Linked DNA regions of Lonchura striata. The protein of the gene in region 2 purifies or fractionates together with the protein of the main gene of each other region. This does not show direct contact. Links are inferred from orthologs where the notes say so. Each region holds a gene or a part of one and is shown on either strand. Other genes may lie near its edges.

The links.
Region 1: the proteins of TRMT112 (region 2) and ALKBH8 purify together in Homo sapiens (co-immunoprecipitation; 3 studies listed by IntAct, with this or other methods). This does not show direct contact. The link is inferred for Lonchura striata from reciprocal best matches to the Homo sapiens genes TRMT112 and ALKBH8.

The regions. Positions count from the first base shown.
Region 1 is NC_134604.1:44,220,905-44,237,590, reverse strand, and holds the start of ALKBH8 (tRNA (carboxymethyluridine(34)-5-O)-methyltransferase ALKBH8), read left to right. Parts: upstream 1-10,722; 5' UTR 10,723-10,751; intron 10,752-11,390; coding exon 11,391-11,576; intron 11,577-15,465; coding exon 15,466-15,606; intron 15,607-16,686.
Region 2 is NC_134638.1:1,905,272-1,921,496, reverse strand, and holds TRMT112 (multifunctional methyltransferase subunit TRM112-like protein), read right to left. Parts: upstream 7,130-16,225; 5' UTR 7,039-7,129; coding exon 6,958-7,038; intron 5,883-6,957; coding exon 5,781-5,882; intron 3,969-5,780; coding exon 3,876-3,968; intron 3,783-3,875; coding exon 3,681-3,782; 3' UTR 2,985-3,680; downstream 1-2,984. Other genes in the region: non-structural maintenance of chromosomes element 3 homolog, read left to right, coding at 9,495-9,536, 9,647-9,718, 9,812-9,875, 9,962-10,041, 10,114-10,208, 10,767-10,846, 10,931-10,973, 11,050-11,112 and 2 more. UniProt on the Homo sapiens protein: Acts as an activator of both rRNA/tRNA and protein methyltransferases. Together with methyltransferase BUD23, methylates the N(7) position of a guanine in 18S rRNA.

The DNA.
Region 1 (16,686 bases), on a different chromosome or scaffold from region 2:
CGCGCGCCTGGCGGCCGCCCAGTGCCAGCCTCCTCCCGTACAGTTATAAAGGATGGGGCCATTAGAAAAAAATAAAAATTAAATAAAAAATTTTAAAAAATCAACTACAAATACCCCAAATGCGCAAACCACTCAGCGCCTGCAAATTTCCTTACGCCGCAAGGTCTTTCCGCAAAGCGTCCCGCATTCAGAGGGGCAAAACTTCTCTCCCACCGCCGGGCGGTGAACGGGGGAGGGAAGCGGTGCAGGGAGCTGCGGTGCGATGCCCGGAGCCGCCTCCCGTCGCTAAGCGACCCGCGGGGCCGCCGCCGGGGCCCGCCGCCGCCGCGCACTCACCGCTCCGCGCCGCTCCATGCCCGCGGCGCAGCGCAGCCGCCGTCCCGAGCCGTCCTTCCTCGCCGGGAGGGACGCGGAGCTGCCGCCGCCGACGCGATCTGGGTCACCCGGCGCGGCGCCTGGCGAAGGTGAGGAGGAGGCGGCGGAGGAAGGCGGGCGGCGGTGCCGCCTACCGGCGAGCGCGGGGGGAGGCTGCGGCGGGGCCCGAGCCCGCCCCGCGGGGAGGGAAAGGGGCCGGGGAGCCGCGGGAGCCAACGCGCGCGTGGGCGCTCCCTGCGCGCCGCCCGGCCCGGCCCCAGCGCAGGATGCCCCTCTCATCCCGGGACCTCGAGACCTGCCTCCCACCTCTTTCTCCCCGCGCTTGCCAAGGAAAGGCGATACCTGTCTGCGCTCACGGAGTCCAGCCACAGTGGTGCGGTTAAGGTCCCACGGGAAGGCGGGGAACATCTCCAAGGTGTTAAGGTCCCGGCCAGCTGGGGTAGTACTCAGCAAGCCAGTATCCTTCCTCCAAATCCTTCCCACCGACCTGTCAAGCAGTGTCCTTTCTCCCTCAGCAGTATATCCAGAAGGCTTTTGATCTTCAAAGTTTCAAGTCAGCTAATTGGGATCATAGGCATGTCATACTATTTATATGGCGCTCCCCTCTAGGAGAATTACAACTGTTGTCTGCAGCATCCTCAGAATAATTTAAAGTTGCCCAGTTCAGTATCTACTGCCAGTAGGCAAGTAGTCTATGTTTCATTTACCCTTATTGCTGCATGCATCTGTCCAGATGTTCCTTTGAAGCTGTAAGCAGACTGTCAGGCCACACTGGCATCCCAATTTTAGACAACAGTCTCATGTTTCAGAAGTCCTTTGAAAATGCTAATTAACCTATTTTTCTCTATGCCTAATTTGAAAATAGCTTTCAGCATGCCTGTTTCAGGGACATGGTTTAATTTCCTCTGAATCTCCCTTTTCAGTCATTTTGATCCCATAATCAACTGTCACATTTAAGAAGTACAGTGAAAACACTCGGGCTGTTGTGTTTAACATTTAACAACTAGGAAACACTGTTCATGTCCTAAGGCAAAGCAGACTGATATTTAATTCTCCTCCTAGCTACAGCTATGCAGTCCATCTTCCACCTGTCACCAGCATGCCTGGTGCACCTGGCTGGCAGGTGCCGTGTTCTGCAGAGCTGATCAAGTGGCAGGGAGGGAGGAGGTCCCAGCAGCCTCCAGATCAGCGGTGTGGTCCATCAGCAAATGAGGTCTGATGCTCAATGGAACAACTCAAGGGTCGGTATCAGACTACAGCTTTACCACCTCATCTCTTACTTGCATCATGCTTTGCACGTTGAAGTAATCTTTCAAGCTTAATTCCATGCATCAATGAACTAGAAAAGTAGTTCTTTCTCCTGGGCAGTGTTTCTAGTTACTAGTATTGCAATGATGTCCACCTCCAACATATTAGATCCTTGCTCTTAGACCCTGTGTCTGTCAGAAACTTCTTTTGCACTAGGCCAGCAGAGCCACTGCAGGTCTGTAGATATCTGAACAGAATAAACTCTAAATTGGGGGAGTTTTCAGGGGCTTCAGGAGCAGAGATTGGTTATGCTTCCCAAAATAAATCTAGAAACAGAGATTTTTAAGACAATTCATTCGTATTATGAAAGATGAATTGTAAGCATGAAAAGCCAGATCCTTGCTACAGAAGTAGCCTTCCCCAGATGGCACGGTCTTGTTCACAAATATTAAGGAATTCAAAATGTGAGCTAGAAAGCCTTATTGCCTTGTTCCCTTACTGTTGTGGCAAATTTAGGGGATCAGACCAACATGTTTGGAGTTTCCAGATGGCCTTCTGTCCATGCTCTGGAATTACGCAGTGGTACATATCTGTACTGTAGTCATGCAGCACCATTTCAGACTTGCCTGGATTTTTTTTTGAGACCCTTGTTGTCAAATTTCAGTTAGATGTACCAATTCACTCAATATGTTGGTATGGAAGCTACTCAGGTTACTATGACTCCTGTTTTCAGAATTGTTGTTTCATGGAAAGTTGAGGCAAACCAGCATATTATAAAAAATTCTTCTGTTTATAAGCAGTTATGATGTGCTTTCCTTTTAACAGCATAATTATTTCTAATTGATGGCAAATGAAAGAAACTGTGCATGACAGCAGAAATATAGCCTGTACTTAGAAGTGGCAGTGAAATCATATTAGAAAAATATAGATGTAGGACCCCACTAGTTGAGCAATGTCACGCTTTTCCAGCAATAGCTCATACAGCCTGCTGTGCTTAATAAAACAGCAAGGTCATCTGCATGATTAATTTAGCATTGGAAAGAAGGTGACAGAAGCAGCAGAAAAACCAGATAGCAACATACCTTGCTCAGATATTAGTGAAAAATAAAAAGCTCAAGCTCCTTATTATTTTAGACGCTCTTGCTGTAACAGAAATTACTGATAAAGACAAAATTGATAACAAGGACATGTGCTGTGTCCTTGTGAAGAACCTACCTAGCATCACCCAGCACTCTTCTCAGACAATGTGCCACCCAAACATTAATAAATGTTTCATAAGAAGTTATATTTTAGTTTATGGTTTTAGGTATTATTTTTTCCTTTTAACAAGTAGCATTTTTCATTTGTGACAATACAGAGCTAGCAGAAATACTTTAGCTACACTTGTATTCTTTGACTTACAATCAACAAGAAAGAAGGTATTTTACCTAACAATCCTAGTACTGCTGGAAAAATCTTTAGAGTTGTAGGAAGAAAGGACAAGGAAGGAATAGGAAAACCTTCCCTATTTACATAAGGAGTTTTCTTACCTCACTTTCCAAAATCTGTAGTTCAGGTTATCAATCCCTCTAGTTCTCAATCAGCATGAGATAGGCTACTCTCCATAAATGACAAGCTTCTCAGGCTGTTCTTAAATTTCCTCACTTGCCCTTTTTGAGAGGATTCTTGTCAGCTGGTAATTGTTTGTGTTTGGCTTAGGACAAGCATCAAATATAGATAGTCCTTTGGAAGTGAATTATATGGCTCTCACGCCCCGATATTATAGCAACTAGGGCTGTGTGTACACAAGCTTCAGGATAATTTTTAAGCCAATCTCCCAGTTGTTTTGTTCATTTCCAGTCCCACACTTCACTGCACTTGTATCTCTTTGACTGAAGATGCCATAAAATTTAAGATGGGAGACACTAACAGAAGCCTGTAGATGATGGTAATGTGAGATATGAAGTGTGTCAGGCTTACTCATAGAGCCTTTAGAGAGACGACAGCTAAGGGAAGCAGCCAGTATGCCCATTTAATTCATCCATTTATTGAAGCAAAGAATTTTGCCAGAAAATACTTTGTCTACATATAAATTAAGAGCATTTAATGGTATAATACTTTAATTTAAATAATTCTGGTGGATATTTCTGCATAGAAAGAATAAAATAAAGTGGTGTAGACATGAGTTTCAAATACTATAGACTAGCAATACCTACTTTTTTCTCTTAATAAAATTGAACAAACTCGAATATGCTGCAACTGTGTTCTAATCATCACCAAGATGTGTACCAACCATATTATGTCTGTGTGAAAAATATTTGCATTTATAAAAGAAAAATTTTAACTAAATTTTGAACAAGGAAAAAAATGATTTAAAAAAATCTCTTATTTTCATTAATCTTCTGCCATTAATTAGATGCATACTCTGAATATATGTGCTACACTTCATGCAAAGATTATGAAGTTTTTCACCAACAATGATTCATGAGGATTCACAACCCCTGGTGATATGGGTAAATATTTAAGTAAATGTCATACAGATCAGCAAACTGACTCACAGACAAGTGGTGTTTGTAAAAGAAAAATCACAAAATTGGGATGCATCTTCTTTCTTTTTTCTTCTTTTGCCTATTCAGCTTAAAAGCTTACAATTCCTGTTTCCCTGATATGTCAAGTGTGCACATAGATCCAAAGAAGTAATGAAAACTAGATTACAAGAGCAGCAAATGGGGTGACCATTAGAAAATTTTAACTTATGGTTGAACAGCTGTTCTTATAAAGAAAGTAAACTTGTTGCATGAGCAACAGCTAATGAGTTCTCCTGACATGATGACTGAAAGGAGATGGAAGAATGGAGTCCCAGTCCAAGGAATACATTGCAATATTCTCTCCAGTCAGTGGGGGCACCAAGGATCTCACGATGGAAATGTAACATTTAGTTCTCTTATGTAAACAGCACTATGTCTTTAAAAATTAACTTCACAGATAGTGTCCAAACTGCCAGCACTACAACCTTAAAATTGTATTGATTGCTCAAGTAGACAAGAGTCAGAGCCTGATACTCCATGATTGTCCTTGTGATACATTTATGCCCTGAAGTTATAACTGTGAGAAACTATGTTTTCCAAGGATATGCAGGACAGCAGACTGCCTGCCTAGTATAGCTATCAGGGAGGATCCCTGTGCAAGGTCGCATTGCTTCCCAAATGCCTAACAAATCCTAATTATTTGTGACAGAACTGAGTTTTCCCAGGTTACTGTAAGATTTTGACTGTATGGCCAGAAGAGTATAGTTATATAGTTCAAATAGCATTTTTAAAAAATTATATTTCCTATTTGTTTAATGTAAAACAGGCATAAAGAGCCAGAAGAGAATGTAAAGTACATGCAGACTTTGAAGGGATGACAATTTTTAGTATGCATGTCAGAGAAAACAAATATTTTGTGAGACTCATTTCTAACAACATTGCTTTCAAAGCTAAACTACACCATGTGTTGATGGGTTGAGTGATTTAGAGGGAAATCAATATTTTGTATGGTTCTTTCAGTATTCCATCTTACTTTTATGACACCCCAGAAAGTGTACTAAACTGGTAAATAATCTCACCTAAACTTTGCCTGAACTGCGGAGAAAGAGTCACAGCAGCAGTGAAAGCAACAATCCTATTCAGCTGAGAATTATCATCTTTTCTTTAAAGCTTGCATGGCATTGGAAGGATTTAAAGCCCTAAGTCACCAAGACTGTTTATGCCAAAAGGAAGTAAAAACTGAGGACAAAACAATTTCATGCAATGTATGGTTTGCTGAGTACTGGTGCATGTGGGACTTTGAAGTCTGAGGACCATTCACTGAGAAGTTTTATTTGAGCAGAAAAAGCTGGCAGGAGCTTCCCCGGGAATTTCTGAATTAAATTCATGGATATTATGCTTTCCAGTAGTTATGTTTAGGGAATTTACATTTCTTGGGGTCTTTCTTAATGAAATCAAGAAATTATCTATTTTTTTACATGTATGTCCACATGTTGCAGGAACCTCTCAAGAGCTGATTCTTTGCACTGGTAGTACATATAATGAAGTATCTTCAGACTTGAAGCAGGCACATCATAACTACAGTAATTTCTGTCTTATGCCTGAAAGTTCACAGGAATTTTCTGAAGACTCACCAGAAAAGGATCAAAGATTTTCTGTTTGTCGAGGCTTACAGATTGTGCTCCCACTTCAAGTGCAATATTAATGGTCACCCAGCAGTGTAGGCATTCTTTTGCAGTGTGTCTGAGAACAGAAGCTAAAGCTGTTCCTCCCTGCATTTAATAAACAGCCTTGAACTTCATTAGTGCAATCTCATGGCATAGCAGAAGTCTTCAGTTTAGCTAACCCCTGTCCAATCCTAAACATTCACTGACTGGTTTGGTTCTGTAGATGACAAGTTCTGTAGCTGTCCCAGTAGAGAACTGGAATCACGCTGCTCAGAAAAAGCTGTGTCATCATGCTAAAGAAGCTTGCTCCACAAGAGGATCACAACAGGTAACAGTGAAAGTGAACCTGACAATAATCATGTATCTGTGCCAGAAATGCAGTGTTGCCAAATATTACAGTTTTACTGTGAGATTTGTGCTATTTAGTGTATTTCCTGAAGTTACAATACACTGAGTATTGAAATTTTAGGAAAAGTGCAGCTTTTTTTATTAAAGGAAAGGGGAAGAAAAGTACTATAAAATCTTACATTTGTGGAAGAAAAGCTTGAAAAAGTTTGGAGATATTAACAGAATGTAGGCTAAAGCTTAGAAACCAGAAAGCATATTGATACTACTTGACATTTTAAGTCCCTTTAGAATACAAGCATTTTCATCATTAGCATTTGAATATCCCACTGCTTTTAAGAGGACCCAGTCTTCTCATGACTCTTTCAGTCTTATGCAATTGCTAACAAACTTCTAAAAGTTGTTTTTTTCTGACTGTTTTTCTTTTTCAGAAAGAAATAGTAAATCTAACATTGAACAGCACAAACACAGAATAAAAATGACATGCAGCACAGAGCCAGCCTTGCCTTCGTCCTGAAAAATATAAACTCTTGGCATTGCAAAGGTTTGTAATGGAGACTTTTATTATCTCAAGCAGCAGCAGTTGCACATTTTGAATTTAGGTCAACACATATTTGTCCAAGTGCTGAATTATTACATTAATGCTATCCTAAAACAATTTATCTTGTGTCTCATCCTTTATTACAGTACTTCTCTACAGGAGTAGTCATGGGTGATTTTGAGCTAGATTTAGTGCTAAAGAGGTTTCTTCTTATTTCTGTAACAAAATGCTATCCTGAAATATATCCTATTTGTCATGATTCTTAAACTGCAGTTTCTTATACCAAGAGATTTGATACAGAAAATCCTATCTTCTTGAGATTCCCTTTTAATTGGGTTTGAAATTAATGGAAATCCAGTGTGATCACATTAGGCTACAGCATGGTTTGCTATAAAAAGGAGTAAGATTATCTTTCCACCTACGGACCAGTAACCTCTTGTTTGTTGAAGGAAATAGAAGTGTTTACTTGTTATCCTATGAAGTTGATTCCCAGGGACTGACAAACACCTTGATTTTCCCTGGGAATGTGGCCAAGATAAAATAGCTAACAGCATAGCAAATAGTGTAATTTGTTCCTGAGAAAAGTCAGTAGGATTTTACTTTTCACCTATGACTAAATGGGAGCATGATATTCTGCTTTAGAAAACATCTTTCCTCTTTATGAATTAAAAAAATAGAGCAGAGCCAAGATTTTCTGATAAAAACCTTATTTTTTCTTAAGAAAACTATTAAGATTTAATATCAAACTAGAATATTTGCTGACATATAAACCAAAATATTAAAATTATACAAAAGGGATTTTTGAAAAGAAATAGTGAGTTTTCTACTAACACACTTTAAGTCAGAGATTTTATTAACATCTATATTGAAGGTGAATTTATTTGAATCCCCACTTCGGTGAACTCTTTTGTGGGTTAGTCAGTGATAATGTTGTTAATGGAGATGTATTTTTACTTGTCAATAAGTGGTATCTGTAGGAGGAGCCTGTACCCATCTAGCAGCAGAGGAGAATGAACAGTGCTTCTGGCCTTAAATCATGAAGGGCATAACAGTTCTGGTTTGAAATATGCTTGTATTAAACCCCTAACCAGCCTTTAACTGTTTTCCTTTTAAATGGTGGAAATTTCCTATGTAAGAATGTTGTTTATAGAAGAAAAATATTGATGCATTATCAGAGGAAATGCTATTGCAATACGCATGAAAAATTCTTGACCACTGCTAATCATACAGAGATACTAAAAAAAAAAAAAAAGAACTTCACAGTCAGTTTGTTATCTCCCAGAGAATGCACATAGACATGCATATAGAATGGAGAGTGCACAGAACCTAGAATGTGAACACTTAAGAGAAACAACCTTTGGGCAGGTATTTTCCACTTGTCAGAACAAATTGGTAATGAATTATAAACTGGTATCATTAGCATCATCCTTTCAGCAGCTTTCAGGGTTGGGTGGTTTCCAGGGCTGAGAGCCTCAGAGAATCGTTTAATAGAGACAGCAGCTGTTGATGCAGCCTGGTTCTTTCTCCATTCATTCTGGCTACCAAGAAGAGCAGGTGATGCTAAGGCTTAGTGTTCACAAAGGTTAAAAAGCTCTATGCTGTACAAGAGTATTCATATATTTGCTGCCTACTGGGTAGGCAGTACTTTAATTATAAGAAAACTTAGGCAGAATATCTGTGCTATCACAACACTTTGCTATCCACTGTGTGGGTCAAGGACAGAAGGTGACTGTGGTGGAGGAAAAGAAGTGGAACCACCACTTCTAACCAAGTAATTCCTACCTTCCAAATATTACAGGCTGGTGGATATGCCCTGTCAGCTTCACATGCTTAGTGCACTTGTACCTTCTGTACATGGAACAACTGTGTCCTTGGCACACGGCATGGTATACATTCCAAAGGAAAGAGAAATGAATTTTTTGTTGTTGTTTCTTGGTTGGTTGGATTTTTTATTGTTTTCTTCTGGGTAAGCACAGCCATAGGTAGATTCCTCCAGAGTGGGCATCTGGGAAAAGCTTGAGGAGCTGGCTTCAATCTACAGGTTTACAGGCTCATCAGTCATACCTTACATAACACCTGCCTGGGAATCCCACACATCATTGATGCTGAGAAAGATTACATATTCACAGGAGGCTGAGGGAGGAAAAGTAAACAGAGAGAGACAAAAAAAGAGTTAGGCTTCAGGTAATAAGATGCAGTGAGAAGTAGAATATTTGTCAGGTAAACAAAAGGTAGGCAATCTCAAATTCCAGCATTTTGGATAAATAAGGGAGAAAAGTTATGTCTAGGAGCATAGTATGCAGCTTGGTTAGCCTGTGAAGAAAAATGAAACAAAGGCTTACACACTGTATCTTTGATTTAAGGGACCATTTTCTCCACAGGGAATCAGAGAGGTGTTAAGATGCTTCCTTTCAGTGAGGCAGGCCTCTCACTAGCGTGGGTTCATTCCACAGCCTTAGGGTGGTTGCTGGCCAGGCCAAGAGCGGTGCAGAATATTTACATACAACCATGGGCTTGGTCTTCCCATGGCCTTGTCTGGACTGGCATGGTTTTATCTTCCTCTGTCTTGAGTGCTGCATTGTGCCAAAGGTAACATGATCAGTGCTGGTTGTGATGGTGGCTTGTCCAGGGGATGGTCTCTTCTGGTGAGCGCCTGAGCCTGGGAGAAGCCATGATGCTGTCTTTAAGCCATCCTGGCCTGGTGGAAGCTGTCTTTAACTTGCCATGTGGATGTGGCTTCCCCCATCTGGTTTTGGATCCCCTGTGCTGGGGGAGGCTTCAATGGATAAATGAATGCAGGTTTGGGGCTGAAGGATGATGTCCCACTGCACATAGGGCTAAAGCATTGCACTTGTGAGGACTCAGAGGGAGACTCTGGATGGAGAGCAGGTTGGTAAAGACCTGGCACTACTTGGAGAAAATGTGGCACAGGGAGGACCTGCTGGCAAGTGGAGTCAGGAAGCATGGAGTGAGCAGGAACAGGGGGTGGCACAGTGACAGTAAGTGTGTGTCCATGGAAGGTGGTTGTAGGGGGCCGCTCTCCTCCTTCCCCTTGCCACACAGACTGCCCTGGATCCATCCAGCATAGATGTCCCTCTCCCCAGGACACGGCTGTGTGCCGCAGGAGAGTCCTGGCCGGGTCATTGGGAAATCTTGGCCCATAGAATTGGCTGCTGCCAAAGAATCAGAGAGCTAGTCAGGTTGGGAAAGACCTTTGGAGATCATGAATCCAACATTTGACCTAGCACCACCACGTCAAATAGGCCGTGGCATTAAGTGCCACGACCAGTCTTTTCCTAAACATCTCCAGGGATGGTGACTCTACCACCTCCCTGGGCAGTCTATTCCAAGGTCTAATCAGTCTTTCCATTAAGAACTGCCTCCTAATGTCCAACCTGAACCTCCTGCAGCTTAAGACTACATCCTGTTGTTCTGTCACTTGTTACCTGGGAGAAGAGGCCGACCCCACCTGGCCACATCCTCCTTTCGGGCAGCTGCAGAGAGCAGTGAGGTCCCCCCGAGCCTCCTGTTCTCCAGGCTGACCCCCCCAGCTCCCTCAGCTGCTCCTCACAGCCCTTGTGCTCCAGCCCCTTCCCCAGCCCCGCTGCCCCTCTCTGGACACGCTCCAGCCCCTCAATGTCTTTCTTGCAGTGAGGGGCCCAGAACGGAGCCCAGGGTTGGAGGTGTGGCCTCAGCAGTGCTGAGTGCAGGGGGACGGTCACTGCCCTGCTCCTGCTGGCACAGCAGTGCTGATCAGGCCAGGGTGCCATCGGCCTCCTTGGACACCTGGGCACACCCTGGGGCACGTTCAGCTGCTCTTGACCAGCACAGCCAGGTCCTTCCCAGTCACTCTTCCCCTGGCCTGTGGTGCTGCGACTTACTGTGACCCCAGTGCAGGACCTAGCACTTGCCTTGCTGAACCTCAAAGCTTGGCTTCCCTGACCTGTAATAAAGCCACAGCCGCCTGCAGCCGCCAAACGCCGCCGGGACTCCGCGGGCAGCGGGGCGGTGCCATGCCGGCGGGGCGGTGCCGCGCTGTGCCCGCCCCGACATGGCCGCTTCCTGCAGGTAACGCGCCCGCCGCGCCGGGCTGCGGCGGGGCCGGGCAGCCGCGGGGGCGCAGGCGGCCTCCGCCGCTGGCTCCGCTCCGCCGCTGGCTCCCCTCCCGTCCCCGCCGTGCCGCCTGTGCGGGGAGCAGAGCCCGCGGCTCTGTCTCCGGCCATGTCAGGAGGGGGCCAAGGCCAAATCCGTCCCTACGTCTGCCGCAAAGCTTTTGTGGCCTCCCCCGTGTGTCCTCGGGGCAGAGCAGAGGGGACGCTGCTGTGAAGGTGGTGAGGCCTGGAACAAGTTGCGCAGGGAGGCTGTGGGTGCCCCAGTCCTGGCAGTGTTCAAAGCTTTGAGAATCCTGGTCTGGTAGGACGCGCCCCTGCCCATGACACGGGGTTTGGACTGGGTGATATTTAAGGTCTATTCAAACCCTTCACATTGTGTGGTTCTATGGCACGCTCCTGTGGTTGTTCCTGTTGTCATTGTTTCCGGGGTGTCGGTGGGAGCTTTGGTGCTGGCTGTCCCTGGCAGAGGCGGGATGGGGCAGCCACAGGGACAGGCTGGTGCTTGGCTGTGCTGGTGCCTTCAGGCGCGTTTGGTCCTTGCTGGAGCTCTTAAATCTCACCTTCGTGCCTCCTGAATGTGTTTTATTCCCCCCAGATGTCTGTGTTAATGCTGCGTCCTTATACGTTTGTTGTGGCGTGTCTGCGGCGCAAAAGCAAGCCGAAAGTGAGTAACAAAGAGCCCAGCTCATCCCTGATCGTGGCGCTCCCTCTGCCGACAGCCGCCGCTCAGCTCCGCCCGGCCGCCAGGTACTCCAGGTTTCAGAAGCTGCTTCTACAGCAAGTAAGCTTTGTGCATTGCATTAAAGCTTTACATTAACCTCTGTAGTAACTTCAGGCCAGTTTTGTAACGTGCGTGTACCCATAGCTCCTATTGCAAGGGGAAACCGTTTTCAGTCTGTATTTTCAGGAGCTACTTTTAAAAATACTCGTTGTAAAACTTGGTGGTAACAGTAATGAATTCAACAGTGGATTAACTCTTTTTATTCTGTAGTCATATTGGCCTTTCTAAAGAAGGTGTGAGATCCTAGCAAATTAAGTTTCCTACTTCTGTACAGTTGAGTGCGTTTCCTTCATTCAGAAACAGGGCAGACTTGGTTCCTGTGCCTGCCGAATTGAGCCACTGGTAATGACGCAACAGACAAGACACAGAGTTTAGACACGGTTCAGAAGGAGACCAAGGGAATATCCTGCTGTCTCAGCTATGCAGGTATTACTGCTTAAGATGCCTTCAGAAGCTGGTGGCCCCAGAGTGATGCTGGCAAGCATGACACAGTACATCAGGAAGGTCTTCAGCTTCTTGAGCAGCAGAAGAGCTGAGTGTTGTGGGATAGGTCATCTCTGCCAGTGTTATGTGCTATTTAGACAGCTGAGTCACACCTCAGCTGTCCCTTGTTCGGGGGTTATGAAAGGATAAAAAGTAGTCTTTCAGTTTCTGTGCTAGTTTAACAAATATTGTGGCATGACTTCTTTGCCTTTGCCTGGAGAATGTGGGTATTTGTGAAGACCTGACTTAAGGCCTGACTAAACTCAAAACTGTTTTCCCCAAATATCAGATGAAGTCTTCCAGTATGTGGAGGTGTAGCTGTTATGGGAGAGGCCTGACCCTTTCAGTTTGAAGTTTTGCAGGCTGCATGACAGTGGTCTGACTGGTATGGGTGATGTGCATAGTGTCCATGCTTTTCCATCAAAATCCAATTTGCTGGGTTCCAAAGTATTAACCTGTCCTGTATTTTTGCTCTTTCTGTAAACTAACCAAGTCAAAGATGTGTCATTTTCCTGTGGAGTAGTTTGGGACTGCCTGACACTCTCCAAAGAGGAACCTGCTCAGGTGTAGGCTGTAAAGATGTAGGCCTTTTTTATCTGTGTGTGGCAAATAAGGTGGGACAGGCCAAGCCTTTTGGACCCAGTTATATAGATGGTGATGATTAGGGACATAGGGTTTAGTAGTGGACTTGGCAGTTCTGGATTAACAGTTGGACTCAACCTTACAGGTCTTTTTTAACCTAAATGATTTTGTGATTCTATGGAGTCTTATAATTGCACAGCTTGGTCATAGTAGGTTTGCTGAAGGAGCCTGCAAATCAGCTGAACCTTGGTAAGGGTAATCCATTAGATGCACTGATGCACTTAGGAGAATTTATTTCATAAAACTTTCTGTGCTTCTTTTCATGAGGCTTTTATTTTTCCCCTCTAAGTTACCTTGGCTTCTAATTATCTTATGCTATTGGGTGTTGGATTTTTTTGTTTCGTTGGGTTTGTTTTTTTTTGTTTGTTTGTTTGGTTGTTTTTTTTTTGTGTCTCCCACTTTGCTTTCTTTTTTTGGTTTAAGCAAGTTTGAGATTTTTTTTTTGGTCATTATTTAACTAATGAAAGGTAAGAGAAGCATTGCTCTCTGTGTATTTAACACTGTTTGTTGATTAAGTGAAGAATCTTACTTTGAACTGTTTTGTCTTTAGAAGGAAGAATGTTGTTTTCAAATAACCATCTGTGGCCTGTTTTCAAATGTGCCATCAGGAAGGGAAAACGATTATTTAAGAAGGTACCAAGAATTTGAGGAAGGGAAGGGAAAAAATCAGAGTATAAAATACGCAAAAAGCCCCTAATGAGCACTGTTGCTTTAAAGGGAAAATGGCAGACATTTCCTACAAATCTGTAATAAAACTAATTATGCAGAGATCAAGATTGATTCCATAACTTATTGATATTTTCAGCCTCTACACTTCATTTTTGAAGTCATGTGGGGTTAATTATTGTAGTAGTCTTCTCCTTTTTCTGCCCTGTTTCAGTTTTGGTGCTTGTGAGATTTTTGTCTTATGCATTTTGTCTCTGTTGCTTGTGAGCATGGTTGTGATTTTAGGAGATCCTAGGAAATGTGAATTGTCTAATGGTGGTAGTATGGATTTTGGCGCTGAGTAGTTTATTAAGTGGTTTTTATGGTTGGTTTTTTTTCCCCTTTGGTCAGACACAGATATAAATGTGATCGTTATGTGGTCAGATGTGTAAAAACTTGAAGAACGCCAGGAAGTCAGGGTTCAAACTGTTAAGGCCTTGCATGTGCCACCTCAAACTTGTTAGCAGGCATCTGAAACTATATCAGGAGAAAATTGTTGATGCTCACCATGCCAGTAACTTGCCATGTTTGCTTAAAAGTGTTGTTGACAAGGGTTTCAATTCATTTAAGGCCCCTGTAACATTGTGTTTGAGAATGGAACAGGAATGGTAGGAGGATTAACTAGTAAGTGGAAAGGAAGGGAAAAAGACTTAGTCTTCTTTGACAGCATTGATCCTGCTCCTTTTTGGAGCATTAGAATTTTTCATTTCCACAGAGTGCTTTTGTCAATCTGATTCTCTTTAAAGATTATTTTTGTGCAGTGCAGTTAAAAGTTGTGCAGGTTGATGATGGTAATGCTGCAGCAATCACAGGGAGTACATACTTACAGCTCCTGTGCAACACTTCAATCTCTTATAACAATTTTACTAGCATATCAGTGCTTGTTTAAAACAAAATTTTTGCTAAGTTATTCAACACAAAGTTCCTGCAAATACTAATATGAGGGGTTTTTTATCTTTACCATTTTTTGTAGTACATTGTCATATTATCATGGTTGTGTCTGCAGTTTAGGTATTGGGAAGGAGCTCTGCAGTCATGCAAGCCAGAAGGCATGTAAGTGGATGAGTGACTGTTGGGGCAGTTGACAATGTTAAATAGTAACATAGAGGGGTGATTGATCTAGTTTGTTTTTGGTTTGGTTTTTTTTTTTTTTCCCTTAAAAATAGCTGAAACAAAACCATTTTTTGACAGGAAGAGAAGATGAAAGGATTGTTGTCAGGTCAGTGCTGATAAAAGAATGGAATAGGACAGACAGCTGCAGTTGGATTGTCCAGCTATACTGTTAGGAGGATTTTTGGCAAAGAAGTACCTCTAAGATAAAGGTAAGGGATTATGTTACAGGGAGAGATAAAGTCAAACTGCATCAATGTCTGGGAGCTTTGTCATAATCTTACATGAGATCTGGACTCCTCCCTTGGATTTGAAGGAAGTAGAAAAAAGAAAGGAAAAGAATATAGGCTTAAATAAATGAGGGAAGGTACTGCATGATCTCAGTGTAGTGTTAGACCAAAAGTTGGCAAAAGATGCAGCAAAACCTGAAGAATGTCATTGACCTGTAAGTATTCACTGGTTGGTAAATGCTGTGTTGCTATGAAATGCAGTAGTTAATACATATATATATATATATATATATACAATTTTCTGTTCCTTCGCACAACAGGAATGTGATTTTCATTAAGTTTGGGAGATGTGGTAAATGATGTGTGGAGCATCCTAATTGCTTGCTCTAGGACATTTAAGTATTGCACACATTTTTCTATGCTCAAGAAAGGCAAGTTTGGCCAAATGTCACACTTGGGTGCAATTAGGTAAAAGGTGTCACACATTTAATCTCTGACTCAAGCTTTTGGTAAGGCATGAGAATAACTGAGAAGCTGAGACAATGTGAATCTCAGGCAGTTCCGCACATAATTTTTTTCTCATGTTCTGTTCAAGTGAAGAGGAAGAGAAAAATGGGAAAATGAAATAAAGCATCATAGCAATCTTTTAAAGATTTATTTCTGGGAGAGATCCTTTTCAGGCAGGACACTCACTACGTGTTGTTATTTTTGCTTTCCAGAACACCAGTATGGAAGCTAAAACCAGTGAAGATCATTTGGAAGTCCAGAAAATGAAGAAGAAGGTATTGAGGAAGCAGGTCAGAGCTCAGCATACATTGATGAGACATGAGGGCATACAGTGTGTCTCCCGTGCCACACAGGTAGTTGCGATTTTGATGGTAATGTTAAAATGCTGCTTATCTGTGTTCTCTTCTCTCATGTGTCTTATGTAAAATGCAGTTTTTAAAAAGGGACTTCCCAAGATTAAGGGTTTTCTGTGCTTCTTTGATTTCAAAGCAGAATGGTACTTGAGCAGTTTGGGGTCTATGGAGAGACTTTGGCCTTTGGATAATGTTTTTTTTAACCTGAAACAGTAGTTACTTGGATTGAGGAGGAAGAGGAAGCCTTGGAAATGCTATTGAAATAGATACACTTTTCTTCTCTTTTTCTGTGGTTTCTTTTTTTTTCTCTCAGGCTTTTAACTTTTGTACCATTCTATCCTCCATGGTTCTCTGTCAAGTGTAATTTGTCTCATCTATGCTCCCCATTAAAAGCATGTCTGTCTTGAATATCTTTTCCATCTTTTTTTCCTCTAAACAAATTAAGGCTGTGGTTCTGTGGGAATTGAGCTGGTTGGCTGACTTGCAGCTGTTTAAATAGGCACAGCTTTCTCTTTCCATGCAGTAAAGAGACCTAGTAGAAAGCTACTTGGATTTTTTGATTTGTAGTGTTCTGCCACAGTAGAGTTACAGCAGATCAGAGGATTACCTTGCAGATACTGATATAGCAAAATGTGACAGGAACTTGCAGACAGAAAGGGAAGTAAGGGTTTCTAATTTCCCTCTCTCATTTATGAAGAAATATAAATGGCTTGAAACACTGTAGAGCAGTATCATTTACCGTATGCTTGTTCATCCTGATCCTGCAAATTCTTCCCATTCAAATATGGAAGCATCAGTTAGATCTTTATACATTTTTTTAATGTGGTTTAATTTTTTCTCCAATTTCAAACCACATGGACGGATGTTAATGACTCGGCAATCTTGTTTATGTTGTAAACTCTTTAGAACAAAGAGTGTGTTTTTCTATTGTTGCTTAGAAATGGGTCTGTAATTTGGGACTTGTTCCCCTTGAAACTGTCCCAGGTACCAAATTATCTATCTAATCTCTCCAAAGAATAATTCTGGGGTCCAGCAAGGTCCTTATTGGTGACAGAACACTTGAATAAGTGATGCATAAAA
Region 2 (16,225 bases):
ACACAGGGACAGCTCAGGGGACACAGGGACTGGACAGGAGACACGAGGACAGCTCGGGGGACATGGAAGGGACACTCAGGGGACACCGGGGACACTCAGGGGACATTGAGGGGACACGGGGACACCAGAGACGCTCAGGGGACACCCAGGGGACACTCAGAGGACATTGAGGGGACATGGGGACTGACAGGGGACACAAAGGGAACACAGAGGGGACACGGGGACTGGACAGGGGACATGGAGGGGACATGGCGACAGCTCAGGGGACATCAAGGGGACACGGGGACAGCTCAGGGGACACTGAGGGGATGCTGAGGGGACAGTGAGGGGAAAATGAGGGGACAGTGAGGTGGCACTAAGGGGACACTGGGGGGACACTGAGGTGGCACTAAGGGGCAATGAGGGGACAATGAGAGAACACTGAGGGGACAATGACGGCACACTTTGGGGACACTGGGGGGACATTGAGGGGACATTGAGGGGACAGTGAGGGGACAGTGAGGGGACACTGAGGTGACACTGAGGGGACAATGAGGTAACACTGGGGGGACAGTGAGGGGACAGCGAGGGGACAGTGAGGGGACACTGAGGTGGCACTGAGGAGACAATGAGGGGACAATGAGGTGGCATTAAGGGGAGACTGAGGGGACAGTGAGGGGACAATGGGGGGCAATGAGGGGACACTGAGGGGACAGTGAGGGGACAATGAGACGGCATTGAGGGGACAGTGAGGTGGCACTAAGGGGAGACTGAGGGGACAGTGAGGGGACAATGAGGAGACACTGAGGTGGCACTAAGGGGGCAGTGAGTTGGCACTGAGGGAGCACGGAGATGGCACTGAGGGGACACTGAGGTGGCACTGAGGGGACAGTGAGGGGACAGTGAGGGGACACTAAGGTGGCACTAAGGAGACAATGAGGGGACACTGAGGTGGCACTGAGGGGACACTGAGAGGACTGTGAGGGGACATTGAGATGGCACTGAGGGGACACTGAGGTGGCACTGAGGTGACACTGAGGTGGCACTAAGGGGCAATGAGGGGACAATGAGAGAACACTGAGGGGACAATGACGGCACACTTTGGGGACACTGGGGGGACATTGAGAGGACATTGAGGGGACACTGAGGTGGCACTGAGGGGACAATGAGGGAACACTGGGGGGACAGTGAGGGGACACCGAGGGGACAGTGAGGGGACACTGAGGTGGCACTGAGGAGACAATGAGGGGACAATGAGGTGGCATTAAGGGGAGACTGAGGGGACAGTGAGGGGACAATGGGGGGCAATGAGGGGACACTGAGGGGACAGTGAGGGGACAATGAGGGAGCACGGAGATGGCACTGAGGGGACAGTGAGTTGGCACTGAGGGAGCACGGAGATGGCACTGAGGGGACACTGAGGGGACAGTGAGGGGACAGTGAGGGGACACTAAGGTGGCACTAAGGAGACAATGAGGGGACACTGAGGTGGCACTGAGGAGACAATGAGGGGACACTAAGGTGGCACTAAGGAGACAATGAGGGGACACTGAGGGAACACAGGGGACACTGTGGGGACAGTGAGGGGACAATGAGGGGACAGTGAGGGGACACTGAGGGGACACTGAGGTGGCACTAAGGGGCAATGAGGGGACAATGAGAGAACACTGAGGGGACAATGACGGCACACTTTGGGGACACTGGGAGGACATTGAGGGGACACTAAGGTGGCACTAAGGAGACAATGAGGGGACACTGAGGTGGCACTAAGGTGACACTGAGATGGCACTGAGGGGACACTGAGGGGACACTGAGAGGACTGTGAGGGGACACTGAGATCGCACTGGGGTGACACTGAGGGGACACTGAGGTGGCACTGAAGGGACACTGAGGTGACACTAAGGGGACACCGGGGCGACACTGAGGGGCCGCCCCCGGCCCTCCCTCCCCTCACAGACTCGCCCCTCCCCTTCCTCCCCTCCCGGCCCTTTCCGCCCCTCCCGGTGCCCTCCGTGTCCCCTTTGTCCCCTCCGTGTCCCCTTTGTCCCCTCCCGGTCCCCCCCTCACCGTCCCCTCGGGCCGCTCCGAGCGCCGCTCCCGCCTCAGCCGCTGCGCGCTGACGTCACTTCCGGCGGCGCCCGCGCGGGCCCTGCGTCACTTCCGCGCGGCGCTCCCGGACCATAGAGACGAGCCGGACTTCCGGGGCGTTATAAATGAGTTTATTCAAAATAAAAATCAGTTTATCTGCGGTCAGATTCTACCTAGCCAGCCCCCAGGAAAGGACAGAGCCGAGCCCGGGGTGTGCAATAATAAATCAGCCTCAGCAGAGGTTTTTGTTATAAATGAAAATGTGTCCGGCCAAATTTAAAATGATAAAATGTTTATTTTGCCATCCAGTTGTACCCAGCCAGCCACAAGGAGAGAACAGAGCCCTGGGGTGTGCAATAATAAATCAGCCTCAGGAGAGGTTTTCCCCTATGCCCACACGCCCATCCTGGCACAAGCGGTTTTTATAGGGAAAATTCAGTTTTTATAGGGAAAATTCGTATTTTTTTATAGGGAAAATTTGGTTTTTATAGGGAAAACTAGGTTTTTATAGGGAAAATTCGGATTTTTTATAGGGAAAATTCGGATTTTTTATAGGGAAAATTAGGTTTTTATAGGGAAAATTCGGTTTTTATAGGGAGAATTCGGTTTTTATAGGGAAAATTTCAGTTTTTATAGGGAAAATTCGGTTTTTATAGGGAAAATTCGGTTTTTATAGGGAGAATTCGGTTTTTATAGGGAAAATTTCAGTTTTTATAGGGAAAATTTCAGTTTTTATAGGGAAAATTCGGTTTTTATAGGGATTCCCAAATTCCCAAACAGCGGCTCCGAGTCACCCCTGAGGATTCCCCATTGTCCCAAAATTCCCTCCTGCCCCCGCCCCGTTCCCTCCATCCCAAAGGATTCTCCTCCAAGAGAGCAAAAGAGGCGATTTTGGCTCAATATCGGGCAAAAAAACCCAAAATTAAAATTGGTTTTTATTAAATTGATGGGGAAAATTACAAATCCAACACGGTAGAACATGGGGGAAAGAGATGGGATTTTGGGAAAAACAAGGAAGAGAAAGGAAAGGTATGGGTAAAAAAAAGGGGGTTAGGGCACAAAAAAGGATTTGATGGGAAAATATTAAAAAAAGAAGGCAAAAAGTTGAGTTTTTGGGGTGAAATCCGGATTTTGGGGGACAAGGGAGGGGAGCGGGACAAAGGAGAGGAATCTGAGGGTAAGGTCAGAGGATTTGGGGATAAAAAGAAGGATTTGGGGAAAAAATAACGGCGACATTCCAAGAAAATAAAAGAATTTAGGGCAAAACTGGGAAGTTTGGGAAGGAAGAAGAAATTTAGAGAGAAGAAAAGAGAATTTGGGAGGGAAAAAAAAAAGGGAAAATTCCTCTCCCGTTATGCAAATAAAACAATTCCCGCTCAAAATGCAAATAAGCTAATTCCTAATTTGCATAAAGGGAGGAGTCACGCCCAATATGCAAATGAGGAGGCTCGAACCACGCCCATCACCGCTTCAACATCGCTGAAATTCCAGCCCCGTTTTTGGGGTAAAACCGTGGGAATTCGGGGTTTTCCCGCCGATCCAGCCTTGGGGGGAGGGGCTCAGCCAAATTTTGGGGACCCCCCCAAGTGGATTTGGGGGTCCCAACTCCCCCCTCAGGCTTCGTCCTCGGTCAGGAGCAGATTTGGGACCCCCCTGGAGATGGGGAAGCGCCGCCCCGAGTCCGGGCACTGCAGGGACCCCTCCAGCACCTCCACCTGCGGTTGGGGGGAAATCTGGGGGTCACGGGGGGGTCCCCAAAATTTGGGAACCCCCCTTCCCCCAAAAAGGGTTTTTTTGGGGTTGCTGACCTCGAGCAGGATGTGGTGGAGGCGGCGCAGGAATTCCTCGTCGGCCTCGTAGCCGGGGGTGGGCTCGGGGGGCAGCTCCGAGGGGCGCCCCAACTTTAGGGGGGTAAAAAGTGGGGAGGGGTCAGAGGGGAACCCCCAGAGCCCCAAAATCCCCATCCAGAACCCAAAATTCCATCCCAGAAACCAAAATTCACTTCCAGATCCCAAAAACAGCCCCAAAATCCCCCCCAGACCTCCAAAATTGCCCCCAAATCCCCCCAAAATAACCCCCAAATCCCCCCTAAAATCACCCCCAAATCCCCCCTAAAATCACCCTCAAATCCCCCCCAAATCTCCCCAGACCTCAAAACTGTCCCAAATCCCCCCAAAATCCCCCCCAGTTCCCGTTCCCATCCCTGTTCCCATTCCCTGTTCCCATTCCCCATCCCCGTTCCTGTTCCCATTCCCATTCCCCATCCCCGTTCCTGTTCCCATTCCCATTCCCCATTTCCCATTCCCATTCTTGTTTCCCGTTCCCGTTCCCCCGTTCCCCCGTTCCCATTCCCCATTCCCCGTTCCCCATTCCTGTTGCCCAGTTCCCGTTCCCATTCCCTGATCCGTTATTCCCGTTCCCTGTTCCCGTTCACCGTTCCCCCTTCCCGTTCCCATTCCCCATTCCCGTTCCCAGTTTCCGTTCCCATTCCCCATTCCCGTTCCCGGTTCCTGTTCCCCATTCTCGTTCCCTTTCCCAGTTCCCGTTTCCCATTCCCCATTCCCATTCCCAGTTCCCGTTATCCCCGTTCCCATGATTCCCCATTCCCATTCCCCATTCCCGTTCCCGTTCCCAGGTTCCCATTTCCCCGTTCCTGTTTCCCATTCCCCATTCCCGTTCCCATTCCCGGTTCCCATTTCCCTTTCCCGTTCCCGTTCCCCATTCCCAGGTTCCCATTTCCCCGTTCCTGTTTCCCATTCCCATTTCCGTTCCCATTCCCTGGTTCCTGTTCTCGTTCCACATTCCCGTTCCCCGTCCCCGTTATTCCCATCCCCTTTCCCATTCCCATTATTCCCGTTCCCGTTATTCCTGTCCCCGTTCCCATTCCCGTTATTCCCGTTCCCCATTTCCCGTTCCCATTCCCATTCCCATTCCCCTTCTCGTTTCCCCGTTCCCCATTCCCGTTATTCCCGTTCCCATTCCCCATTCCCGTCATTCCCCTTTCCCATCACTCCCGTCATTCCCATCTCTCCCGTTATCCCCGTCACTCCCGTTATCCCCGTCATCCCCGTCACTCCCGTTATCCCCGTCACTCCCATCATTCCCGTCACTCCCGTCATTCCCATCTCTCCCGTTATCCCCATCATTCCCATCACTCCCGTTGTCACTCCCGTCACTCCCGTTATCCCCGTCACTCCCGGTATCCCTGTCACTCCCGTTGTCACTCCCGTTGTCACTCCTGTCACTCCCGTTGTCACTCCCGTCATTCCCATTGTCATTCCTGTCACTCCCGTTATCCCTGTCACTCCCGTTATCCCTGTCACTCCCGTTATCCCCGTCACTCCCGTTATTCCCGTCACTCCCGTCACTCCCGTTGTCACTCCAGTCACTCCCGTCATTCCCATTGTCATCCCCGTCACTCCCGTTGTCACTCCCGTCATTCCCGTCACTCCCGGTATCCCCGTCACTCCCGTCATTCCCGTTGTCATTCCTGTCACTCCCGTTGTCACTCCCGTTGTCACTCCCGTCACTCCCGTCATTCCCATTGTCATTCCCGTCACTCCCGTTGTCACTCCCGTCACTCCCGTTATCCCCGTTATCCCCGTCACTCCCGGTATCCCTGTCACTCCCGTTGTCACTCCCGTTGTCACTCCCGTCATTCCCGTTGTCACTCCCGTCACTCCCGTTATCCCCGCCGTTCCCGTTCCGCTCACGCTCTCGGCCGCCTCCCTCAGCGCGTCCCAGCGCAGCCGCGGCACCAGGCGGGACACGAAGGCGGCGTTGAACGGCACCGGGCGCTCCCGCACCTCGGCGGCCTGCGGGCAACCACGGGCTGAACGGGCTCGTTAGGGGTTAATTAGGGGTTAACGGGGCTCATCAGGGGTTAACAGGGTTAATTAGGGGTTAATTAGGGGTTAACGGGGCTCATTAGGGGTTAACGGGGTTCATTAGGGGTTAATTAGGGGTTAACGGGGCTCATTAGGGGTTAATGGGGTTCATTAGGGGTTAATTAGGAGTTAACGAGGCTCATTAGGGGTTAATGGGGTTCATTAGGGGTTAATTAGGGGTTAACAGGGTTCATTAGGGGTTAATTAGGGGTTAACAGGGTTCATTAGGGATTAACGGAAGTGGGATAACGGGGACTGGGGTAACGGGAACTGGGATAACGGGGACTGGGATAACGGGACTGGGATAACGGGGACTGGGATAACGGGACTGGGGTAACGGGAACTGGGATAACGGGGACTGGGATAACGGGACTGGGATAACGGGACTGGGATAACGGGAATGGGGTAACGGGGACTGGGATAACAGGACTGGGATAACGGGGATGAGATAACGGGGACTGGGATAACAGGACTGGGATAACGGGACTGGGATAACGGGGAATGGGATAACGGGAATGGGATAACGGGGACTGGGATAACGGAACTGGGATAACGGGACTGGGATAACGGGAAGGAACCGGGATAACGGGGACTGGGATAACGGAACGGGATAACGGGAAGGAACCGGGATAACGGGAGGGGATAACGGAACGGGATAACGGGACTAGGATAACGGGAAGGAACCGGGATAACGGGGACTGGGATAGCGGAACGGGGATAACGGGACTGGGATAACGGGGAATGGGATAACGGGACTGGGATAACGGGGAATGGGATAACGAGACTGGGATAACGGGAAGGGGATAACGGGGAATGGGATAACGGGGAATGGCATAACGGGACTGGGATAACGGGACTGGGATAACGGGGAATGGGATAACGGGAACTGGGATAACGGGGACTGGGATAACGGGGAATGGGATAACGGGACTGGGATAACGGGAAGGAACCGGGATAACGGGGACTGGGATAGCGGAACGGGGATAACGGGAGCCCCCCGTACCTCGATCCTCAGGGGGAAGCCGCCCCCGGGCCGCAGCCCCGGCACGTGGGAGCTCAGCAGGTTGTGGGTCAGCAGCTTCATGGCGCCTCTTCCGCTTCCGGCGCGTCACTTCCGGCCAGGAAAGGCGCGCGGTTGCCACGGCAACGGGACGCTGCCAACCCGGAAGTGGGCGTGGCCTGGAGGGTGGGGTTGGCTTAAAGGGGCAGAGACAGGAAAGTGATTAGAATCGATTGAAATGATTTAAAATTAATTAGAATTATTTGAAATTAATTGAAAATGTTTAAAATCATTTAAAATTCATTTAAACTGTTTAGAATAAATTAAAAATATTTAAAATGTATTAAAGTTAATTAAAATTAGTTTAAGCTATTTAAAATTAGTTAAAATTATTTAATATTAATTTTAAAAAATTAAATTATTTTAAATTAATGAAAACTTTAAAATTAATTAAAATTATTTTAAAATAATTAAAAATATTTAAGATTATTTAAAATTAATTAAAACTATTTAAAGCTAAATAAAAATATTTTAAATTATTTAAAATTAATTAAAGTTATTTAAAATTAATTAAAGTTAATTAAAATTAATTAAACTTATTTTAAAAAATTTTAAATATTTAAAATTATTTTAAATTAATTAAGGTTATTTAAAATTAATCAAAGTTATTAAAACTTAATTAAAATTAATTAAAACTGGATAAAATTAATTAAAAATATTTAAAATTATGAAAAATTAATTAAAATTATTTTAAAATAATTAAAAATATTTTAAATTATTTAAAATTCATTAAAACTATATAAAATTAATTAAAATTATTTAAAATTAATTAAAATTTATTAAAGTAATGTAAAATTAATTACAATTCATATAAGCCAATTAAAACGATTTAAAATTCATTAAAATAACTTCAAATTATTTAAAATTATTTAAAAATATTTAAAATTCATTAAAATATTTTAAATTATTTAAAATTCATTAAAGCTAGTTAAAATCAATTAAAATTATTTAAAATTAACTACAATTCATTAAACCCTCCTTGAGGCCCCCAAATCCAACCCAAATCAGAGACAAAGGCGGGGGCACAAATTCAATTTATTTATTCCCAACACCCCCAGAAATCAAAGAGAAACCCCAAAAACGAAGTTGCGGAGATAAGGAAACACCCTGTGAAAAATCTTTAAAATTTCATAAATCTAACAGTAATAAAATGGCTATGAAAATAGTAAATAGAAATTAAAAATATATAAAAATACTATAAAAATAGTAATGCAATTACACTAATAAAATACTTAGAGTTAGGGCAATTACCAGATGATAAAAAGCAAATGATTGTCTTTTTTAATAAGCGCTTCATTATTAAGCTTTTAAATTTTTAAAAACCAAGTGATTGGAGGTTTTATAAACCTGAAAACATATTTAATGCGCTCCTGAAGAGAATTAATTACTCGTGTAATATTCATTTTAATATTTGCAAAAAACCAATCATAAAATTCACATTTTTCACAGGGGGATCCCAATCCCCCCAGAAATCAAAGAGAAACCCCCAAAAACGGAGTTGCAGAAATAAGGAAAAACCCTGTGAAAAATTTTTAAATTTTTATAAATCTAATAAGAATAAAATGGCTATAAAAATAGTAAATATAAATTAAAAATACATAAAAATACTATAAAAATAGTAATGCAATTACAGTAATAAAATACTTACAGTTACAGCGATTCCAAGATGCTAAAAAGCAAATAATTGTATTTTTTAACAAGCGTTTTACTATTAAGTTTTTAAATTTTATAAACCAAGTGATCGGTGGTTTTACAAACCTGAAAATATATTTAATGCGCTCCTGAAGAGAATTGATTACGCGTGTAATATTCATTTCAATATTTGCGAAAAACCAATCATAAAATTCACATTTTTCACAGGGTGGGGACCCCAACCCCCCCCAGCAAACAAAGTTTAATAATAACAACATAATGGTTATAAAAACAGTAAATCTCTGTTTTTTATCGGCTTGCAGCTGTCCTAACTCTAATTATTTGTCGCTATAATTAAGTTATTAATTTTATAACCTTTTTACCGCTCTTTTCCCGCCATTTTCGCCGCCGTGAGGGGAAGGGGGCGGGGCCCGCGCGCGCCGCTCTTTTCCCGCCTTTTTCGCCCCCCTCAGGTTGGTGCGGGGGGGGGGGAAGAGCGCGAGTCTCGCCCGGCGCGCGCCGGGGGGAGGGCGGGGCGAACTCGGGCTCTCGACCAATCGCGACGCGGGGTTGGGATGGTAGGCGGGGCGTGCGGCGGCTGGACCAATGGGAAGCGGCACTGGCGTGGGCGGGACCGGCGGGTGTGGGCGGGGCCGGCGCGGTCGCGGGCGGAGCGCGGTGGGGGACGGTTCTCGTCCCGGCCGCGTCGTTGTCCGGGCCTTGGATGGATTTTTTTTTTCTTTTTTGCGGCCCTGCTGAGGGTGGAACGCGCGGGGCGGCCTCAGGAGTGCTCTGGTGGCTGTTTTAACCCATCCGGTGCTTTTTTCCTCTCAGAGCTGCCGTGAGGAATGTCTCAGCGCAAGCGCAGCAAAGGGCTCGGCTGCTCTCAGGTGAGAGGCGGCTGCCCCGCCACACCCCCCGTTCTCCCCTCATTCGCTCTTTTGGCTGCTGCCGCTCTCTGTCATCACCTCGCCCCGCTTTTCCCGTCGTTTCCCCTCAGCTGCCCGACGGGGAGGATGATTTCATCCCGACGCAGGTGGAGCGGCGCTCGCAGGAGCAGCTGAACCAGAAGGTGGATTGCGGTGATCCCCTCTGCTCCCGCAGTCCCTTTCTCTGCATCCTTTTGCTATCATCCCTCGCCCTTCCCTGCTCCTTGTCCCCACAGGTGAGCGAGCTGGTGCAGTTCCTGCTCGTCAAGGACCAGAAGAAGATTCCTATCAAGAGGGCAGGTGCGTTTCCGCGGTGTTTAAACCCCGAAATCCTTCCTGGCTCAGAGCTCCGACCTCTCTCAGCGTTCCCTGTGTGTTTTCCATAGATATCCTGAAGAATATAATCCGGGAATACAAGGATGCCTACTCGGAAATCATTAAAAGGGCAGACAGGACCCTGCAGGAGGTGGGGGCAGCACGGAAAGGGGGAAGGTTTTGGGGGGGATTAACCTTTGGATTAATCCTTGTCCTCCCGCAGGTTTTTGGGCTGCAGCTGGTGGAGATCGATGCCAAACGCCACATTTACATCCTCATCAATAACCTGCCCTGCGCCCAGGGCGAGCTCCTGTGCAGGTGAGGGGATGCAGCACCCATGGGTGCACCCCTGGGTGATTCCAGCCCCACAGGGCTGACACGGGGAACAGTCCCTTTTTGGGGAGATTGTCCCCAAATTTGGGGTGGATTTGGGGAACAGTCCCTTTTTGGGGGGGATTGTCCCCAAATTTGGGGTGGGACAGGGGGAACAATCCCTTTTTGGGGGGTTCGTCCCCAAATCTGGGGTGGGACATGGGGAACAGTCCCTTTTTGGGGGGTTCATCCCCAAATTTGGGGTGGATTTGGGGAACAGTCCCTTTTTGGGGGGATTGTCCCCATTTTTGGGCGAGACACAGGGGGAACAGTCCCTTTTTGGGGGGATTGTCCCCAAATTTGGGGTGGATTTGGGGAACAGTCCCTTTTTGGGGCACTTTGTCCCCAATTTTAGGAGGGCCACGAATTTCCTTTTTGGGGGAAATGATCCCCATTTTGGGGAGGGTTTCTGGGGGGGGACAGTCCCTTTTTGGGGCACTTTGTCCCCAAATTTTAGGAGGGCCACCAATCCCACCCGCCTGACCACCCCTGTGTGCGCCTCAGGGGCAAGGAGCAGGAGAAGATGGGGCTCCTCTTAGTCATCCTCAGCTTCATCTTCATGAAGGGCAACTCCGTCAAAGACAGTGAGTTCTCCCCAAAACCCCCACCCCGTCCCCCACTTTTTCCCCTTGCACCCCGCTCACTTTGCACCCCTTTTGTTTTTCCAGGTGCTCTGTGGGAATTCCTGCACTTGCTCCGTGTCTACCCCGGGTAGGATCCGGCCGGGGACCCCCGAAATGGGTGGGTGGGCTACTCAGTGCCACCCCTCACTAGCCCCCCTCCTTAGGAAGCAGCACGGCGTCTTCGGGGACGTCCGGAAGCTGGTGACGGAGGAGTTTGTGCGGCAGAAGTGAGTTGGGAGCGGGCTGGAATTTGGGGGTGCAGCGTGGGGGTCCCCCCATGTCCCTTCCCGGTGTGCCCAGAGCGGCCTCGGCGCCAGCCTCGGCCGGGCTGTTTATACCACACCGCAGAGCAAAAACCCGCAGCCCCCCACACCCCGTGGCTCCAAGGGTTCCTCACGGGGTCAGGGCAATGCTGGACACCCCCAAAAAAACCCAAAAAAAACCTTTGTGCACCCCAAAAACCACCCAGCCCTCCGCAGGTACCTGGAGACCACCGCCATCCCCCTGACGGACCCCCCCGAATTCAAGTACCAGTGGGGCCCACGGGCAGAGAAGGAAACCTCCAAGAAGGACGTGCTGAACTTCGTGGCCAAGGTGAGGCCGTGCTCGTGGGGGGCATCTCTGAGTTTTTTTGGGGGGCTCGATTTGATGCCCCCTCCCCTGTTTTTCTCCCGTTCAGATGCAGGGCAAAGACCCCAAATTTTGGGCGAGCCAATACAGCGAGGCCAACAAAGCCACAACCTGACCCCCTTCCCCACCCCACCCCAAAAAAATAAAGGCAGCCCGTTGGTTTGCAGCCCCCTCCCCAAATTTTCAGGCTCTGCTTGGTTGTCCAAGGTTTAATTTTGGGGTGGGGGCTCCCCTTTTCCCCCAAGGGACCCCTCAGAAGTGCTCGGGGACGGTGTTGAGGGCATCGGCTGCGGTGCGGTTGATGTCGACGTTCTGTGGGGTGGAAATGGGGGGTTTTGGGGGGGATCTCCCCACAATTTAACACTCCCCTCAGTTATTTGGGGGGGTTAAGGTGCTCTGCACCCACTTTTTGGGGTGGATTTGGGGATGGGGGCTCTGACCTGGGGTCGTGCCCGGTGGGTGTTCACTGCCTCGATGTTGAGGAAGACGGGCTCGACCTCACACCCTGTTCCAGGGGAAGAAGGGAGCGGTTTTTGGGGGGATTTGTCCCAATTTTGGGGTGGGACACAGGGGGAACAATCACTTTTTGGGGGGATTGTCCCAATTTTGGGGTAGGACATGGGGAACAGTCCCTTTTTGGGGGGTTTGTCCCCAAATTTGGGGTGGGACAGGGGGAACAGTCCCTTTTTGGGGGGGATTGTCCCAAATTTGGGGTGGGACAGGGGGAACAGTCCCTTTTTGGGGGGATTGTCCCAATTTTGGGGTGGGACATGGGGAACAATCTCTTTTTGGGGGGATTGTCACAATTTTGGGGTGGGACATGGGGAACAGTCCCTTTTTGGGGGAATTTGTCCCCAAATTTGGGGTGGGACACAGGGGAACAATCATTTTTTTGGGGGGATTGTCCCAATTTTGGGGTGGGACATGGGGAACAATCCCTTTTTGGGGGGATTGTCCCCAAATTTGGGGTGGATTTGGGGAACAGTCCCTTTTTGGGGGGATTGTCCCCATTTTGGGGTGGGACATGGGGAACAATCTCTTTTTGGGGGGATTGTCCCAATTTTGGGGTGGGACATGGGGAACAATCTCTTTTGGGGGGGATTGTCCCAATTTTGGGGTGGGACATGGGGAACAATCCCTTTTTGGGGGGGATTGTCCCCATTTTGGGGTGGATTTGGGGAACAATCCCTTTTTGGGGTGACCCCACTCACCGTAGGCCACGGGCGTCAGCTTCAGCACCGTGTGCAGGGGGCACTTGAGGTAGGGCAGCTCATCTGGGGAGGGGTTTGAGGGAACTCGGGTGGCCACTGCAGCTCTGGGCTGTCCCCAGCTGTCCCCAAATGTCCCCAGCTGTCCCTGGCTGTCCCCAGCTGTCCCCTCGTTGTCCCCAGCTGTCCCCAGTTGTCCCCAGCTGTCCCCTGGCTGTCTCCAGCTGTCCCCTGGTTGTCCCCAGCTGTCCCCCAACTGTCCCCAACTGTCCCCTGGTTGTCCCCAGGTGTCCCCAGCTGTCCCCTGGCTGTCCCCAGCTGTCCCATGGCTGTCCCCAGCTGTCCCCAGCTGTCCCCTGTTTGTCCCCAGTTGTCCCCAGCTGTCCCCTGGCTGTCCCCAACTGTCCCCAGTTGTCCCCAGCTGTCCCCTGGTTGTCCCCTGGTTGTCCCCAGCTGTCCCCAGCTGTCCCCAGGTGTGTCCCCAACTTTCCCCAGCTGTCCCCAGCTGTCCCCAGTTGTCCCCAGCTGTCCCCAGCTGTCCCCTGGCTGTCCCCAGCTGTCCCCTGGCTGTCCCCAGCTGTCCCCAGCTGTCCCCTGGCTGTCCCCAGCTGTCCCCTGGCTGTCCCCAGCTGTCCCCAGCTGTCCCCTGGCTGTCTCCAGCTGTCCCCTGCTTGTCCCCAGCTGTCCCCAGCTGTCCTCTGGTTGTCCCCAGCTGTCCCCAGCTGTCCCCTGGCTGTCCCCAGCTGTCCTCTGGTTGTCCCCAGCTGTCCCCAACTTTCCCCAGCTGTCCCCGGCTGTCCCCAGCTGTCCCCAGCTGTCCCCAGCTGTCCCCCGGCTGTCCCCAGCTGTCCCCAGCTGTCCCCAGCTGTTCCCAGCTGTCCCCAGTTGTCCCCAGCTGTCCCCTGGTTGTCCCCAGCTGTCCCCAACTTTCCCCAGCTGTCCCCTGGCTGTCCCCAGCTGTCCCCAGTTGTCCCCAGTTGTCCTCTGGCTGTCCCCAGCTGTCCCCTGGCTGTCCCCAGCTGTCCCCAGTTGTCCCCAGCTGTCCCCAGCTGTCCCCTGGTTGTCCCCAGCTGTCCCCTGGCTGTCCCCAGCTGTCCCCTGTTTGTCCCCAGCTGTCCCCAGCTGTCCCCTGGCTGTCCCCAGCTGTGCCCTGGTTGTCCCCTGGTTGTCCCCAGCTGTCCCCGGCTGTCCCCGGCTGTCCCCAGCTGTCCCCAGTTGTCCCCAGCTGTCCCCTGTTTGTCCCCAGTTGTCCCCAGCTGTCCCCTGTTTGTCCCCAGCTGTCCCCAGCTGTCCCCTGGCTGTCCCCAGTTGTCCCCAGCTGTCCCCTGGCTGTCCCCAGTTGTCCCCAGCTGTCCCCTGTTTGTCCCCAGCTGTCCCCAGCTGTCCCCTGGCTGTCCTCAGCTGTCCCCAGCTGTCCCCTGTCTGTCCCCAGCTGTCCCCAGCTGTCCCCAACTTTCCCCAGCTGTCCCCAGCTGTCCCCTGGCTGTCCCCAGCTGTCCCCTGGCTGTCTCCAGCTGTCCTCTGGTTGTCCCCAACTGTCCCCTGGTTGTCCCCGGCTGTCACCTGCGCTCTTGTCCAGGAAGTAGGCCAGCAGGCAGCGCATCACAGCCTGGTGGCAGACGACCAGAACGTTCTCCTGCCGCTCCAGCTCCATGATGACCGGCTCCAGCCGCTGCACCAGGTCCTCGTAGGACTGCGTTGAAGGTTTAGGGGGTGTCCCCAAAACCTCTGCCCCCCAATTTTTTGGGGGCATTTTCGGGGCTCACCTCGCCCTTGGGGTAGCGGTAGCGATATTTGTCCTGGTCCCTCAGCGCCAGCTCCTTGGGGTACCTCTCCTGGATCTCCTCGTAGGTCATCTCCTCGCAGACCCCCTGCGGGACAGCGGCGTTGGGGGGGGGGTTCAGGGGTTAATTTGGGGTGTTTCCCCCCAAAAAACAACCCAAAATCGGGGTGGGGCTCACGGCGTCGATCTCGTTGAGGGCCTTCCACTGCTCGTAGGGCACGCCCAGCGCCTCGGCCGTCTCGATGGTTCTCCTCATGTGGCTGGTCCACACCTTCAGCTCGCGGAGGTCCTGGCTGCGGATGAAGCGCGCCAGCGCCTGCGCGTACTGGGAGGGGTGGGAGGGGTCCCTGCACACCTGGTGGGCTCTGGCACCGCCTGCTGCCCACCAGGGGACAGCCCCAGGTGTGTCCCTGCACACCTGGTGGGCTCTGGCACCGCCTGCTGCCCACCAGGGGACAGCCCCAGGTGTGTCCCTGCACACCTGGTGGGCTCTGATCCCACCCTGTCACACCAGGGGACAGCCCCAGGTGTGTCCCTGCACACCTGGCGGGCTCTGATCCCACCCTGTCACACCAGGGGACAGCCCCAGGTGTGTCCCTGCACACCTGGTGGGCTCTGATCCCACCCTGTCACACCAGGGGACAGCCCCAGGTGTGTCCCTGCACACCTGGCGGGCTCTGATCCCACCCTGTCACACCAGGGACAGCCCCAGGTGTGTCCCTGCACACCTGGTGGGCTCTGATCCCACCCTGTCACACCAGGGGACAGCCCTGTGTCCCCCAGGTGTGTCCCTGCAGGTTGAGCTGGTTCTGACCCCCTTAGCCCCATCTGGTACCTGCAGGAGAACATCCCCCAGGTGTGTCCCTGCAGGTTGGGCCAGCCCCGACCCCACCTGTTGCCCACCAGGGGACACCCCCATGTCCCCCAGGTGTGTCCCTGCAGGTTGAGGTAGCTCTGATCCCACCTGGTACCCACGAGGGGACATCTCTGTGTCCCCCAGGTGTGTCCCTGCAGGTTGAGCCGGCCATGACCCCACCTGCTGCCCACAAGGGGACATCCCCAGGTGTGTCCCTGCAGGCTGAGGTGGCTCTGATCCCACCTGGTACCCACAAAGGGACATCCCTCAGGTGTGTCCCTGCACACCTGGCCGCCCCCGACCCCACCTGCTGCCCACGAGGGGACATCCCCGTGTCCCCCAGGTGTGTCCCTGCACACCTGGCCGCCCCCAACCCCACCTGCTGCCCACGAGGGGACATCCCCAGGTGTGTCCCTGCACACCTGGCCGCCCCCAACCCCACCTGCTGCCCACGAGGGGACATCCCCAGGTGTGTCCCTGCACACCTGGCCACCCCCGACCCCACCTGCTGCCCACGAGGGGACACCCCCACGTCCCCCAGGTGTGTCCCTGCACACCTGGCCTGCCCTGACCCCACCTGCTGCCCACGAGGGGACAGCCCCGCGTCTCCTCCGATGCGGCCCTGCAGGTTGAGCAGGCTCTCGCCGTGGCGGCTCAGGTAGATGGTGCGGGGCGTGACGTGGATGTTCATCAGGTAGTAGACGGTGCGGCTCTGCACGTGGCCCTGCACGCGGTTCGCCAGGTACCGCACGCCCACGTCGAAGATCTTGATGTAGGACAGCCCGCTGGGGAGGAAGGGATGTTTTTGGGGAGGGGTCACACCTCGGGTCAGGACGGGCGTGGGGCGGGGGCTCACCTGTCCA